Linked DNA regions of Drosophila melanogaster. The protein of the gene in region 3 interacts with the protein of the main gene of each other region in a pairwise test. Each region holds a gene or a part of one and is shown on either strand. Other genes may lie near its edges. The genes, in order: Pex19, Neos and unc-45.

The links.
Region 1: the proteins of unc-45 (region 3) and Pex19 interact in a two-hybrid assay, tested with the Drosophila melanogaster proteins (one large-scale study listed by BioGRID).
Region 2: the proteins of unc-45 (region 3) and Neos interact in a two-hybrid assay, tested with the Drosophila melanogaster proteins (one large-scale study listed by BioGRID).

The regions. Positions count from the first base shown.
Region 1 is NT_033779.5:12,089,993-12,095,844, reverse strand, and holds Pex19 (peroxin 19), read right to left. Parts: upstream 4,024-5,852; 5' UTR 3,719-4,023; exon of another isoform or gene 3,487-3,718; intron 2,158-3,486; 5' UTR 1,984-2,157; coding exon 1,935-1,983; intron 1,852-1,934; coding exon 1,734-1,851; intron 1,668-1,733; coding exon 1,364-1,667; intron 1,298-1,363; coding exon 1,134-1,297; intron 1,077-1,133; coding exon 833-1,076; 3' UTR 610-832; downstream 1-609. Other genes in the region: CG6712 (uncharacterized protein), read left to right, coding at 1-609.
Region 2 is NT_037436.4:7,240,061-7,243,991, reverse strand, and holds Neos (neosin), read right to left. Parts: upstream 2,365-3,931; 5' UTR 2,118-2,364; coding exon 1,696-2,117; intron 1,633-1,695; coding exon 939-1,632; 3' UTR 853-938; downstream 1-852. Other genes in the region: mRpL50 (mitochondrial ribosomal protein L50), read left to right, coding at 103-132, 189-298, 358-787; RpL18 (ribosomal protein L18), read left to right, coding at 2,764-2,766, 3,051-3,137, 3,215-3,691; BHD (Birt-Hogg-Dube), read right to left, coding at 3,828-3,931.
Region 3 is NT_033777.3:8,031,481-8,037,986, forward strand, and holds unc-45 (uncoordinated 45), read left to right. Parts: upstream 1-1,820; 5' UTR 1,821-2,050; intron 2,051-2,107; 5' UTR 2,108-2,121; coding exon 2,122-3,400; intron 3,401-3,459; coding exon 3,460-5,024; 3' UTR 5,025-5,923; downstream 5,924-6,506. Other genes in the region: CG10903 (uncharacterized protein), read left to right, coding at 1-231, 302-489; CG11035 (uncharacterized protein), read right to left, coding at 732-1,427.

The DNA.
Region 1 (5,852 bases), on a different chromosome or scaffold from region 3:
GACAATCCGGTGACCAAGACGCGTAAGTTTGGACTGGAGCTTTCGCGCATATTCCCCAACGCCCTGGTTAAGATTCGCAACAAGTCGTCGGTGAAGAAGATATGCAAAAGCGCCGAGCGCGAGGAGTTCACAGACGTCGTGATCGTTAACGAAGATCGCAGAAAGCCCAATGGGCTGCTGGTCATTCATCTGCCCAATGGTCCCACTGCCCACTTCAAGCTGTCCAACGTGAAGCTCACCTCGGACATAAAGCGCGATCACAAGGAGATAACCAAGCACAGGCCCGAAGTGATCCTGAACAATTTTACCACACGTTTGGGTCTGACCGTGGGCCGCATGCTGGGTGCCCTCTTCCATCACGATCCCGAGTTCCGCGGCCGCCGAGCGGTGACGTTCCACAATCAGCGAGATTACATATTCTTCCGTCACCACCGCTACGAGTTCACCAAAGAGGGAAAACGCGTAAAGCTGCGCGAACTGGGGCCGCGGTTCACCCTGAAACTACGTTCCCTGCAGGAGGGCACATTCGACAGCAAGACCGGTGACTATGCCTGGATAATCAGCAACAAACGGCACGCCATGGAGTCGCGACGTCGCTTCTTCCTCTAGGTGTATTTCGAGGCATTGTATTTAGGTATAGAACTACTTAATAAACCAACAGTTAATACGAAAATAATAGCTTGATTGAAGAGAGAGGTGATAACCATTAGCGACCGCCGTATTGTTTTGTCGGTGATAAAATAAAATACAAATTTGCCTTAGCCTAAAAAATGTGCAACACTCAACAGTTAACCAATTGGCACACCACGAGACTATCGTGCTCCGTCAGCCACTACATGGTTGGGCACTGGGGACCGGGACCGCCGGCTGCTACGCCGGCAGTGGGATCGCCGAAGGGCAAGTCGCCGCCCGTCTCGGCCAGAATCTCTGGCGGCGGCTGGCCGTAGTCTTGCAGTTTGCGCATGTCGTCCAGCACGACGCGGAACTTCTCTCGCTTCACGGCGGCCGAATCCTCGGTCTTCTCGCTCTGTAAATGCCCCTCAATCACCTTGTACAGCTCCATCTGCTTCTGGTACCTGTATGTATTGGTTTCTCAATAAAAGTATCTTATTGCGAGTTGATTTCGAGCATACCTTTCCTTGTCCTCAGCGGAGAGCTTGGCGTCGTTCTCCTCGAGGTACTTGGGGTACTTCTCCAGCAGCTCCCGGATGCTGGGCAACAGAATCTCCGCCGAGAGCAGGCTCTGCATCATGCCCTCCATGAATGGTAGGAACATGTTTCCATCACCCTCGCCAGCCTGTCAAACGGGGATTGTTTAATGATTGAGCAAGGAGAATTCATATTTCATTTTCAGGATGCATACCCCTTCAAGATTCAGTGAACCAAACATGCTGGCTATGTCGTTCTCCGAGGCGGGAGCAGCCAGGTTCTCGGAGCCCTCTTGCAGACCCTTGAGAGCCTGGGAAATGCTATCAGAATACTTGGAGACATCCTCGTCGGTGGCCGAATTTTCGCCGCTCAAGGTGAGCGCTGCCGCTTCGGCCATCTTTTTGAAACCGGCCATGATCTGGTCGGGATCCTGGGGCAGCGGCGGAATATCGCCACTGGGCGTGTCCGGACCTCCGAAGAGCGTGTTCATGCGATCGGCCAGCACCTTGGCCTGCTCACTGAAGGCGGATAACAGGTCAGAATACAAAGTTCAAGTGCCGCGTTGCACTGGCGCATTGACTCACATGAAAAACGCATCTGGATCCTCGGAGCCCTCAGGTCCAGCGTTGGTCGCCACATCCGATGATGCGGACGGCTCCTTTTGGTCACCGGCACCACTTTTATCGAAATCCTGGAGAGCACCTGTGCGAAAAGTGGACGACGCAGTGCGCATTATGTAAGGGGTCGAGAAGGGATCGCCAAAGGCATTTCCGGGCTGTACTCACTGTCCAGCAAGTCGTTTAATTCATCGCCATTCTTCTTTTCTTCGGACATTGTGCAATTTCGGGATGCTTTTCCTTGATTTCGTGGTGGGTGGGAAATGGTAAAAAATAAAGACTGACTGAATCAATCAGTGGGACCGTTCATCTGCTGCTGGTGCATACCGCAGTCAGCTGAACAGGTGTGGCTACACTGACTCACATCTTAGTGCGACCGCATTCGTAACGGCTTTTTAAAAGGATGCGAAATGATAAGAAAAAAATTTAAAAATTAACTTTTCTATATAATTGTTGGTTTTAATTTTAAGATTTCAGTTTCGGTTAGGGCTTAGACAAAATTCATATTACTTAAACAACTTTTAAATGCATTTAATGTTTTTTTTAAGAAAAATAGCTATATTTTGTTTAATTTTTAGTAAATATATTCCTTAAATTAAGAATTCTTATTTGTTACTATTATATAAAGTTCAAAACAAGTTCAGAATACCTATTTCGAAATAATCTGGAATGCATTATTATTGTGGACTACACATAAGTGTGAAAATGTCTAGCCATTTAATTCATATAACATATATTTATTGTCAATGAAAATTTCGAGTTTTGATTTAGAAAATTATATGTCTTACAACAACAAGTCATCAGTACACCCATCTACAATATAATAGTGTACATATTTAAATCTAGGCCTACATCAGACTAATAAACTTAAATTCGAAGCACCTCAATATCCCTCCTGTCTTGAGAGACAAACCAAGGACATTAGTCGAAGATTATCTAAAATAATCACCCAAAATATTTACGCATCTTCTGCGAAACTCTCAGCCAATCTCCCCGGGAATGGCACCTCGCTGTGCGCGGACGGAGATCGGCGACCAAACTGCGACCAGAGCCCAAACCGCACATACTGAGTGGTGAGGGAGGGGTCGCAAAACCATCAAGGTCACGGCGCGACGCTGATGCGCGACCAATTCCGAAACCAGAACGTCACACCCATGGACGGGACACATGGATTTTGCAGTAGGGCGTCCAGCTCTAGGTCCACTCCCGCCCGAAGGTCACCGCTGCGGAGGAACCCCGCTTGGTTTCCTCAATTCCGCTCATATGGTCAAATGGCTGGGCTGGGATGGGCTGTGCTCTTTGCGACTTTAACCGCACGGTTTACCAGAAGAGCAAAACGAATCTTCGATTCGGTACGCCCACGCAGCGAAGTATTGTGGTAAATTTGTGTTTTTTCCTCTATTTCCACTATTGGGGCGGAGTTTTCTTCGGTCAGTCGGTTCTCTGAAAATGTCAGCATGGGCGGAGCTTCGACTGAAATAATGCATAATTTGGTGTTTTATTTTGCGGCTTAGGGTGGAACAAACCGCCTGAAACTCTTACATTTCCTACAGAAACAGGGTAATTTGACTTTTTATGGGCTGTAATCCATTTACAGAATATGCATACATATAACATCAAAAATTTCCCTAAAAACCATAACTCTCTTTTTAGGGAAAAATTTCATTCTCTATTCGCTGCGAACATCAGAGTATATAGTTCAACTTCAAATTTCTTAGAACCCAAGCAGTTCAGTTCAAAAAGTCAAGACAACCGTCAAAAAGTCAAAACAAAAGTCGAAAACGTAAAAACCCCTTCGTTGGCCAAAACAATGGTTTTTGGGTCACACTCACACCCGATCCCAATAAACCAAGAAACTCGCTCTTTTTTGACATAATTTTTAAGGCACCAACAGGCGCGTCATAAAGTTGTTTATTCCGATATAATCGGTTTGCTAGACTAGCTGAATTTACCTGAATCTCCAGCTCTATTTCCCCAGAAGAGGAAGGATTCCAACCGTCATAAAATGCCCATCAGCGTCTTCACAAGCATCTACACTTCCCTTCCTTTTTGCAGGAACTTTGCCAGGATACGATCCTGTACATCCTTTTCATATGCTGACTGCGATTTCACGCTCGCTGATCGCATCGCTATTTTTTTCAACATTTCCGCATCCTTCCAGCGAAAGATGCTCGATTTTACGATGCACTGAACAGGATATAATGGATTTCGCGATTGTTCGGTAATGACGATGATTGCGACTTTATAGACACATTATTTATATTGTGGCTGGTGTCGTGTGGCTATGGTAATAAAGTGTAAATAATAAGTATATATAAAGGAGTAAATAAATTAAGACACTAAATATATGTAATATATATGTAATATAAAAGGAATAAAAGTTCTTTAAAATAAAAAAATTATACTAATTAAATTAAACTCTGATTCTAGAAATCTGAATGTTACATTACATTCAAAATAACTTGTAGCTTTAGTACACCTTGTATTAATCATTCAAGTATCACAAAATATAAGATATTTATATATGTTTCGACATATTTTTGTGTCTGGCCAGGATGGCATTATCTTTTGATATTTTGGCCATGGTAATTGCGATTACAAGGCTCCCAGTCATTCCTGGAAAACGCTCACTTTTCCTTTGAAATCCTGCCCCGAAAAGAAGAACTGGAGAAGTCAACTGCTGGCAGCTTCCCGAAAGACAAGACACCCACATCCACCATCCAACATACAACATCCACCATCAACCATTGCGCAATGGGGCGAGCTCTTCATGCTCCGACACCCATCGCTCTCCATCAAAGTGGCCATGCAAATGAGCCCTTGCGTCTGCCATACGTTTTCCTCTAGAGGATTGGGTCGAAGGGTAGCCGACTCCAGATGATGTGGGTTGCTCTGTCTGTGCCCCCCCAGTCGCTGTTCTGTTTGATTAAGCGGAAATTAAGTGTGCGTTTCGGTTGCAGCCTCCCAATTCGCCATGCCCTGCTTTTTTTTTATCGTGAACTGCAGCACATATATGTTTTATGTTTCCCAATCGATTTGGTGGCTCAAGAGCTGCTTTTGGCTTCCTCAGGTCAAATAGTTTTTATTACAGTGGTTAGGAATTACTCCCAATTAAGTTTCATAGAAATTATAGATTGCTAAAACATAAAACCACTTCTAAGTAGGACATCATGAGAAACTTTTTAAGCTCTTCGCATAAAACTGAAGATTCTTTCCCACTAATGTATAAATAATCACGGTCTCTGCAGTCAATTTTTCCATTGGCAATGCATTTTTTTTAATAGAAAACGCCGACCGTAGCCAGTGATTAATGAAACAATTGAATGATTTTATTTAAATTCGCATATATCCGATGCAAACCGTGGCTAATGGACAAACGCCGCCGAAGAGAAGATCCAACATCTCCAAATCGAGATTCCATAGAAACACTCGGGATGTGAGAAAAACGCCACCTACTTTGTGGACTCTACGCCGAGAAAACTAATGATGTTCTTTCGCCATCCATCGAGTTTGTCCATTATAGTAGAGTATATGATCGATCCGCGATCGAACCTGATCGACTACCACAAAGCAGGGCAATTACAAATCGGGGAACTGGACAACAGGTTGCCGGCTGAGTTGGGAAATATGGATGTGGATGTGGCTCTGTGACTCTGGATGGAGATGGAACCCGGCCGGAAAACAAATTAATCTTGTTGACGTCGCAGCCTCGTCACTTTCTTCGCCAGGTCGAGGGCCCAGGTGTTTGATCTCGACCTGATGCTCCGATGCTACGATCTTCTGTTGGACAACGATGGGTTGCGCCTACATTTGCGCCTTCTGTTTAATGATCAATTTGTTGGCCTCCGTCGCCGTCTCTCAGATGTGTGCCGACAGCGTTTAGCAGTCGATTGGGCTCGGGATTGGTTTGTTTGTGCCCCGAGTTGCCGGGTTTGTTGTGCCCCAGGCTAATGAGTTTCTCGAAAGTGGGTGTATGTGGCAGGGGCTCCCCTTTTTGCCCCTGGGACACTTCCTACATGATCGGCGAAAATTCAGCCAGACTCTGTGACGTCCCAATACACAGGAAGATAATCCCTTTCAACTAAC
Region 2 (3,931 bases), on a different chromosome or scaffold from region 3:
AATGCAGTATTTTTGTGTTACCATCTCCTTACCTGTAAGTATAGTGAATATATTTTCAGTATTGACTGCCATGCCGCATTGTTTTCAATCTGGTCACATCCAATGGCAGCGATTTTACGTAAAACCCTAATTGTAAGTAAAAAATAATAAAAATGTTCACTTAAAATCCAATGCCACCATGAATTTAGCTTGCGGGAAGCCTGCATAGGAGTTTTGCCTCCGCCGCCAAGGCCGCAAAAGCAAAGCCCGTCAAAACCAGCACCATTTCAGCTGTCGGCGAGTCCATCGCCGCCAAGGGGTAAGCACTTTCTTTAATTTATTTACATAAAAACCAAGTAAATATTCTCCTGATTGTAGCTTCTTGCGTCCCCATAAGCCGTACTCCCCACCTGCAGATGCCGCCGAACGTATTCGAACCGTAGCCGCCTCGCTTCAACTGAAATCCGACCAGTTGGGGAATCTCTCCGAGAAATTCGAATTCCTGAACGCGTGCTTCCAGGAGCTGCAGCACGGAGTGCCCAACTCCCAGGTACATGAACTGCGCACCGTCAGCGATGTTATCGCTTTCTACCAAACAGCTGTGGACACCACCGTGCCGTTTGATGCACTGAAGCGCATCGAGCTGCCGGAGAATTTGCACATCCAGTACGAGTACGTGCGATTCCATCCCGAGACAGATACCAAATTCGACGGCAAAACGGCTTTCCCCAAGAGCTCCACCCTAGTCACCGGTCTCAAGTACCGTGGAAAGTACGAGGGACACGAAGCCAAGCGATCCTGGCCTTAGAAACAGCCAATTGTTAGTTGTTAATGTCTTACACTTATTAAATGCATTCTGGAAGCCCGAGATTTACGTCATATATATTAGGTATTACATTTATTAAATGTTAAATATGCTTAATGGCTAAAATTAATGAATACTACTAAGTATTGGTAGTCTATAAATACTCGGCTAAAATCTGTCTGAGATCCGAGTTGTAAACACTTTCCAGGGCCGCCAACACTCGATCGTCAGCAAGTAGCTCCATTAGCCTTCTGTCCTCCTTGACTGCCTCGAAAGTGGGATACATGAGCTCGCTGGTGACATCGGTTACTGCCGGCTTGTTCATGATGCTAAGAATCTTCTTCTGCAGCTCGATCTCTGGATCGGGAGCTTTTAGCTTGGCCAGAGCATTGGCCTCGCCCACCTCTCGCTTCAGTTGCTCCTCGCGTTCGCCTTCGAGGTACTTAAGAATCACCTCGTACTGCGACGCGGTCAATGGATGATTGTCTGCCAGCCTTTCCAGCAGCCCCTGCATTTCCTGGGGATGTCGTCGCTGTCCCTTGTGTATGGATGTTGACGGCGGTAAGACGACAGCGTCGCGCTGTTTTTTGAGCCTAAAATCGGTGGAGATCAGGGTGATGGCGTCCTCCAGCGGCATGTTGCGATGCTCAGCGGGTACGCCATACAAAATGTTTACTGTGATGCTGTTGTGTTCCTCGTGCTGCGGCGTGACCAATACCGCATACAAGCAGCCGCGCGAAGAGATGTTGGCCAGGACCTTGCCTAGCAAGACGTCCTCGTTGGGAAAGAGTACATCCACGCGCAGACTGGAATTCTTTAGCCGCTCCTCAATGTATTCTGCGTATTTGCTGCAGGTAATGAAAGCCATGAGTATCGTCTGGAGTTATAAGGTATTGGGGATCATAACTTACGTATTCTCGCGATTTTGGACTATGATCTCGCAATCATTGATGAGGGGTTGACCTGCTGCCGCTGCCGCCGCTGACATCACAAGTCCACCCTGAACTGTCACCTGGCCTCCTTGATTTGAATTTCTTTTGGCGATAGCATTGGCCGCCTTCGATTTAATGCTGGCGTTGCGTACGGTGAGCATGTTTTGCTTAAAAGTGGACTTGTGCAGGGCGGAGGCGGCTTTATTGGCCAGCTCCTCCGTTTCAAACTGCACGAATCCGTAGTTCTTCTGGACCATCGAACCGAGCACTTTGCCATATGGCTGGCAAATGCTCACCAGCTCCTCGCGCGTGCAAACCGGCAGGTTGCCCAAGAAGATTCGACTCTTTGCCAGGGCCGGATCCTTGGTTATGTTGTAGCCGGCGCTTCCTGGATCAGACATAGATATTTGAAGCTTTCTACTGCACACAAACCCGAAACTGAAGATTCTAGTGTGACCCGACGAGGCAATGCAAAAATACACACCGCTGAATAGTTATTATTCAGAATTGGCATCAGTTTTAATAAAAAAAAAGGGTCGCTTGATTTCCGAACCTTCTTGCATTAACTTGCTTATTAGAAATTCAATTTACAAAAATGCCATGTAAAAAATCAGATACTATTAATATTTTGTTGTACCCCCCTAATATTAAAAAAAAATCCTATGGTCATACTAATGATGTTATTAGCGGCGTTGCCACACTTGTATATCAAGCAAATAAGAGCTTTCACATATAATTTTGTTTTAATTTGATTTAGAGGTTTGGAAGTTTTACCCACAGTATTATTAATGCTAGAAATTTTGTTTATAAACTTAGGATATCGCTTAGAAAATAAATGAAGCTTGCGCCTTAACAGCACGCTGTTATCATAACAGCACAATTGGATATTTTAGCGTCTTGCTTGTGATCGGTGCAGCCACACTATTTTCTTTCTTTTGGCTTTCGTTTCCGGCGAGGTACGTGCAAGAAATTGATGCTCCACGTTTTTAGCTTAAATTAATGTCCAATTCTCTATTTTAGCGTTGATTAATACATTCAACAGAAGAAATGGTGGGTTACCGATAAAAGTGCGGCAATGATTCCAGCAGGAAACTGACAAATAACCTAAAACGCCAACTGTGGCTCAGCCCACGTGCATTGCGAAGCTTCCTGGCGACGGAATGAAATAAAAACAAATTTGTGTGGGCGGCATCTAGTTTGTGAAGCTAAAATACCATGAAATAAGCAGTTTAACTGATCGGTTCCATGGATATGTAGTAAACATACGCTCGAATGCCGACCAATTGTTTTTCCGATCATAAACACCAGTTCTAATACGTGTGTTTCGTTTGCAGGGTATTGATATCAACCACAAGTACGATCGCAAGGTTCGCAGAACCGAGCCCAAATCCCAGGATGTGTACCTGCGCCTGCTGGTCAAGGTGAGGCTTTCGATGGCGTTGACTACCAGCTGAATGTGGAGATTAATCTGTTTTTTTTTCTTTGTTTGCCCCCGCAGCTGTACCGCTTCCTTCAGCGCCGCACCAACAAGAAGTTCAACCGCATCATCCTGAAGCGTTTGTTCATGAGCAAGATCAACAGGCCGCCGCTATCGCTTCAGCGCATCGCTCGCTTCTTCAAGGCCGCCAACCAGCCGGAGTCTACCATCGTGGTCGTCGGCACCGTCACCGACGATGCCCGCCTCCTGGTGGTGCCCAAGCTCACCGTGTGCGCCCTGCACGTCACGCAGACCGCCAGGGAGCGCATCCTGAAGGCCGGCGGTGAGGTCCTGACCTTCGATCAACTGGCTCTCCGATCGCCCACCGGCAAGAACACGCTGCTGCTGCAGGGCAGGCGTACCGCCCGCACCGCCTGCAAGCACTTCGGCAAGGCTCCCGGTGTGCCCCACTCGCACACCCGCCCCTATGTCCGCTCTAAGGGACGCAAGTTCGAGCGTGCTCGTGGTCGTCGCTCCAGCTGCGGCTACAAGAAGTAAGCGACTGGCTGACTGGACTGGATTCGGCATCCTTTTGGTTAAGATAATGATTTTTCTCGCCATCGCACGGCAATAAAAGAGTTTTATTCCAAAAGGTGAAAAAGAAAGTCCTTAATCTGTGCGGTAATCGGTTGTACTAGTGAAGGTGTGTGCTCCAGTAGTTAATAATCGGCTGATCGTGCGGCTGCACGCCAAGCACCTTCTTAAGTTTGCCCTGCACGCTGGTGGATTTGGCATGGT
Region 3 (6,506 bases):
AGCGCCTGCTGAAGTTCTTTACCACCTTGTTTTCCTGTCTGACACGCACCGCGCGAGCTGTCTTTCAATTTTATCCGGAGAACTCCGATCAGATCGAGATGGTAACCTCGCAAGCCATGAAGGCGGGATTCTACGGAGGATTGGTTGTCGACTATCCAAACTCTGCCAAGGCTAAGAAGTACTACCTGGTGCTCATGACTGGAGGATCTGCTGAGCTGCCGCAGGCTTTGGGTTAGTTTTAATAATAATAATTATAGAAAACTAATAATTACTTTCACATCATTTTTCTTTGCTTTTGTAGGCTCACCTGAAGAGGAACGTCGTGTAAACTATATAAAGAAACGTGATGCTTGCCGTGAGGCTCGGGGAAAAGCGCCAAAGAAATCCCGCGATTGGATCCTAGCCAAGAAAGAGCGTCGACGTCGCCAGGGGTTGGAAACCCGTCCTGACACAAAGTACACTGCACGCAAGCGCAGCGGCAAATTTTGAATAAAGTTGTTACATTTAAAATTAGTGACAGACCTAATCTCTAATTGCGGCTTTGTCTATATGTTTTAGATCTTGAGTCAGATTAAGGATATTACAATGCCGTTGGATGTTTATATACATATGTATAAGTCCCGCTGCTATTCATCTTAAGTAAAACGGACACATCTTTAATTCACAAAATTATATTGTTTCGAATTTAATTCATTTAACTTAAGTCTATGTACGCTGAAGACTAGAGAATTCTAAGATTGCTTCCCGACTAGTTTTTGTTCTCGCTCTTCTTGATCGCGTCTGTATCGTTCCTTCGCTTTCTGCTTGGGAGTGTCGTAGGAGCTTTCGGCGAGGAACATCAGGTATACGGCCACTCCGGCAAAGATAAAGGCCAGCAGGACCATGTCAGTCTGGCCTGATATTCTGTTGGTCTCCCTTTGCACTTTTATTCGATCGTATTTGGCCTGGGCGGCTTGTCTCCGGTCAAATGATTTACCATAGTGATTTCGCGACCACTCGTCGAAGTCATAGATGGGCGTACGGCCCGCAGAATCAGATACACGCGATTTCTGAAATCGCGACTTGTAAAACTTAGTCTCCGCATCGTCCTCGACTACGGGTTCCGCTACATCGTGGACATCTTGGGCATATTGGGCGCCTGCCGTATGTACGATTCCCTTGTCGTAAAGTCGACGCAGCCGGTAATTTCCCAGAATCTCATAAGCCTGATTGATCTCCCGAAATTTCTTGGCTGCGTTCTCACTTCCTTGGTTCCTGTCCGGATGATAAAGCATCGAGAGCTTATAGTAAGCTGCCTTGATCTCGTTCTGCGTGCACTGACGCCTGATTCCCAGTGCGTCGTAGTGGCTCATCTGGTGGCGTTGACTGAGGTAGAGGCCACGCAGCAGAAGCAGAGGTCGCCACAACATTGGGCTGTGCTGGTACATCTTGGATGTGTTCTTTCGCCCGCTTCACTTGTTTTGGTTTCGTTATATCACATGAAAATTAAAAACAAATCGAATCAGCTGTTTGAACTTGAACTTGTTCACCCTCGCCATCGTTGTTATCGATAGATCGATAGTATTCTGAACCAATGGTGCAGGTACAGCAAAAAATTAGCTGAAAGAGGAAAAAGAGCTTGTAATTGATTAATTTATAAAAGATAGATTTTGAAAATATTTACAGAATAAATGATTTTCAAAAAAGTTTTTACAGATATATCAGAAAAATATTTGTAATCCCTGGCTTAGTTAAAAATTTAAGACTTTAGTAAAGTTGAAATTCGTCAGCTGTTTGGGCTATGATGAAAAAAGCAAAACGTAAGCTCCACGGTTCCAGTCAGCTGTTTGGCCGATTCGCTGCGAATGGCAACTGTTGCAACTATTTTGGTTTGAGTCTTCTCAATTTTTATTTATATATAGAACAGGGCAGCAGCCGGTTCAATAGTCTCACGCAGCGTGCTTGATTTTCCCGCTAAACGCCTGCAACTGTATCTGTGTGTATTCGAGAGCGATCGAGAAGTTTCTGGTGGTCGAAATTTAGGCCAGAAGGCACAAAACCGAACTGAATAGTGAGTCATCCGTTAACAATAAAAAGTTGCAGCTACAGTTTTTGTCTTTTTATACAGAAAATTGTGTAACCATGACAAACACCATCAACAGCGAGGAAGTGTCCGACGCAGGAAGCTACAAAGATAAGGGCAACGAGGCGTTCAAGGCCTCCCGCTGGGAGGAGGCAGTGGAGCACTATGGCAAAGCCATTAAGGCGGGCTCTAAGCACAAGGAGCTGGCGGTTTTCTATAAGAATCGTGCTGCCGCTTATCTGAAGCTAGGAAAGTATGAAAATGCGGTAGAGGACTGCACTGAATCTTTGAAAGCGGCTCCGGGGGATCCCAAGGCACTGTTCCGTAGGGCTCAGGCGTACGAAGCTCTGGAGAAGTTCGAAGAGGCCTACAAAGACGCAACCGCTTTGTTTAAAGCGGATCCCGGCAACAAAACCGTACAGCCCATGCTCCAGAGGCTTCATGTCGTCGTGGAAGAGCGCTCTGCCCGTAATGCCAAGACATCCACAAAAGTCAAGCAGATGATGGATCTTACTTTTGATTTGGCCACGCCCATCGATAAGCGTCGCGCGGCAGCCAATAACCTAGTAGTTTTGGCCAAAGAGCAGACTGGCGCTGAACTGCTTTACAAGGACCACTGCATCGCCAAAGTGGCCTCACTAACAAAGGTGGAAAAGGATCAGGACATTTATGTGAATATGGTGCATTTGGTGGCTGCTCTTTGCGAAAATAGCGTCGAGCGTACAAAGGGCGTTTTAACTGAACTCGGAGTACCGTGGTTCATGAGGGTTCTCGACCAAAAACACGAGAACTGTGTGTCCACCGCCCAGTTTTGCCTACAAACAATATTGAACGCATTGTCTGGGCTTAAGAACAAACCCGATTCGAAGCCGGAGAAGGAGCTGTGCACTAGGAACAACCGGGAAATTGACACTCTCCTAACATGCCTAGTTTATAGTATCACGGATCGCACGATTTCTGGAGCAGCTAGGGATGGCGTTATTGAGCTTATAACCAGGAATGTCCACTACACAGCTCTAGAATGGGCCGAACGCCTGGTTGAGATCAGGGGACTGTGCCGTCTGCTGGATGTGTGCTCCGAACTGGAGGATTATAAGTACGAGAGTGCAATGGATATCACAGGCTCATCATCCACAATTGCATCCGTTTGTCTGGCCCGGATATATGAGAACATGTACTACGATGAAGCTAAGGCACGGTTCACGGACCAGATCGACGAATACATTAAGGACAAGCTTTTGGCGCCTGATATGGAATCCAAGGTGCGGGTCACCGTTGCGATTACTGCCCTGCTTAACGGTCCATTGGATGTGGGCAATCAGGTTGTGGCCAGAGAAGGTGAGTTCTGTTATTGGATTTAGAAAATGGTACTTAATTAATGGTGAAATTTGTAACAGGAATACTGCAGATGATTCTAGCAATGGCTACGACCGACGATGAGTTGCAGCAGCGAGTATCATGTGAGTGCCTAATCGCCGCTTCCTCTAAAAAGGACAAGGCCAAGGCTCTTTGTGAGCAGGGAGTAGATATTTTAAAGCGGCTCTACCACTCCAAGAACGATGGTATTAGAGTACGCGCCCTGGTGGGTCTTTGCAAGCTGGGTAGCTACGGCGGTCAGGACGCGGCCATCCGACCATTTGGCGATGGAGCTGCCCTTAAGCTGGCGGAGGCATGCCGTCGGTTTTTGATCAAACCTGGAAAGGATAAGGATATCCGTCGTTGGGCTGCCGATGGTCTGGCTTATTTAACACTGGATGCTGAATGTAAGGAGAAGCTCATTGAGGATAAGGCTTCCATTCACGCTTTAATGGATTTGGCCCGCGGAGGAAATCAGTCCTGTCTCTATGGTGTGGTCACTACTTTTGTGAATCTGTGCAATGCGTATGAGAAGCAGGAGATGTTGCCTGAGATGATAGAACTTGCCAAGTTTGCTAAGCAACACATACCGGAGGAGCACGAGCTGGACGACGTAGATTTCATCAATAAGCGTATTACTGTGCTGGCAAATGAGGGCATAACAACTGCTCTTTGTGCACTGGCGAAAACTGAAAGCCACAATTCACAGGAGCTGATTGCCAGGGTTTTGAATGCGGTTTGTGGACTGAAAGAGTTGCGAGGAAAAGTGGTTCAAGAAGGCGGCGTTAAGGCGCTGCTTCGTATGGCGCTTGAGGGAACTGAGAAAGGAAAACGCCATGCTACCCAGGCGTTGGCTAGGATTGGCATAACCATTAATCCGGAAGTATCTTTCAGTGGCCAGCGATCGCTTGATGTAATCCGTCCTTTGTTGAACCTTTTGCAACAGGACTGCACAGCGCTGGAGAATTTTGAGTCGCTAATGGCACTCACCAATCTAGCCAGCATGAACGAGAGCGTGCGCCAGAGGATTATCAAGGAGCAGGGGGTCTCCAAGATAGAGTATTATCTGATGGAGGACCATCTGTACCTGACTCGTGCAGCTGCCCAGTGTCTGTGTAATCTGGTTATGAGTGAGGATGTCATTAAAATGTTCGAGGGCAATAACGACCGAGTGAAGTTCTTGGCGCTTCTCTGCGAGGATGAGGACGAGGAGACCGCAACAGCTTGTGCCGGAGCTCTGGCCATTATTACTTCAGTGTCTGTCAAGTGCTGTGAGAAGATCTTGGCCATCGCCAGCTGGCTGGACATTCTGCACACTCTGATCGCCAATCCCAGTCCGGCGGTCCAGCATCGAGGCATTGTGATTATTCTAAACATGATCAATGCTGGAGAGGAGATCGCCAAAAAGCTGTTTGAAACGGACATTATGGAACTGCTGAGCGGTTTGGGGCAGCTGCCCGATGACACGCGTGCCAAGGCCCGAGAGGTGGCCACCCAGTGCCTGGCGGCGGCGGAGCGTTATAGGATCATCGAGCGGTCCGACAACGCGGAAATCCCCGATGTGTTTGCCGAAAATTCGAAAATATCTGAGATTATCGATGATTAAGCGAAATTCGTTTGTAGTGCCTTTTGTTTTTCCTCCATTTCATCTTCTTTACTTTACTCACAGTGTCATCGCGAAATTTAACTTATTTTTCAAAATATCAAATGTACTTAACTGTTTTATAAATATTGTTCGAATTTATTTCGTTTTTAAAGGTAGTTTGTTTTATTCCTTAGTGGGTAATATAATATATTATTTAGTTATTTCATGAATACGCGATTTTTTAATTTAACTAATTTAATACAGACCAAGCCTAATCCAAGCCTAATTGCTGCGGCCTAATGTGATTTGGATTGTAATATGGATGGCCACTAGGATGGCCTAGTGTTTTCCCACCGACTCCATTTTCCCCGGTGCACTGCCTCGGTACGTTTTCTATTCATTGCCACACATTAGTCGCCAGCTCGAGGTAGCTGACTTCCTCTAATGCAGAAGATGCTTCTGATGCGGCAGTGTTGCAGTGTCAGGTAGCCGGGAATTCCGAGCCGAGCATCTCTTCCAGCTGATTGCTCAATCTCAATGAAGTGTGATTAAATAAATAATAGTTGCTTTAATTTAGTTTGGCTCAGCGCAGTGGGAAATGGCCGAGGGTTTCGGTTGCTATGATTCGGTTGCCATGACTTAACGGCATTTATTCCGAAATCCATCCCGCTTTTTGTCTTTGGCCATTTGGCATTCCTTTTCCCGCGATTATTTCGCATTTTCCTCTTCTCCTTAAACCATATACTGTGCTCAATTTGACCAATATAAATAACGTGGTTAGAAGGTAAAGTAATGAGGAAGATGAATTCTTCAGGACCCTTATATGCTAAAGGGATATAAGCTGAAATAAAATATGTTGATGTAAGACCCCAGAAGGAAACAAACTAATGCTTGGCAATATATTTAAAAAATTGGTGTATAAAAACAATTAAGTTAGGGGAATAAACATTTTAAAAAATGGTAAAAAAAGACATTTTAAAAAATGTAAAAAGGATATTTCCGTGGAAATATATTAGCAAATTGAAATTCATTTCTATAGCGTTGTTTAATATTGAAAATCGAGTTTTTCGGCTACTTCATAATAAATGTACACTCTTCTTCCATTTGAGAAATCGATAATAAAGAAAATAATCCCAGACTTAATCCCCAAGAAGCAGAAACTTTCGGTTTCGGTTGTATTTACTTTTTCGGCATTGGTCAAAATGAGACATTTTGTCCTAATTACACAGACGACAGACACAGACCGTGTGGCAAAGAGTTTGCTAAGACTGTGGATCGGAAGCACTGGCTTAGAGCTTCATCGGCTTGATTGGCGACGTACATATGTGCATCTTCACTTTCCATTTAATCTCGGTTTGGTGGCGCGGTGCGGTTCAGTGTGGTGCAACACAGTTGGTGCCGCCCAATTTGTCCCGTGGAAATCGAAAGCCGATTTTCATGTCAATATTTTTGTTTAATAAACTGGCCGACTCGAGTCGTCTGCGCATGCGGAAAATATGCAAA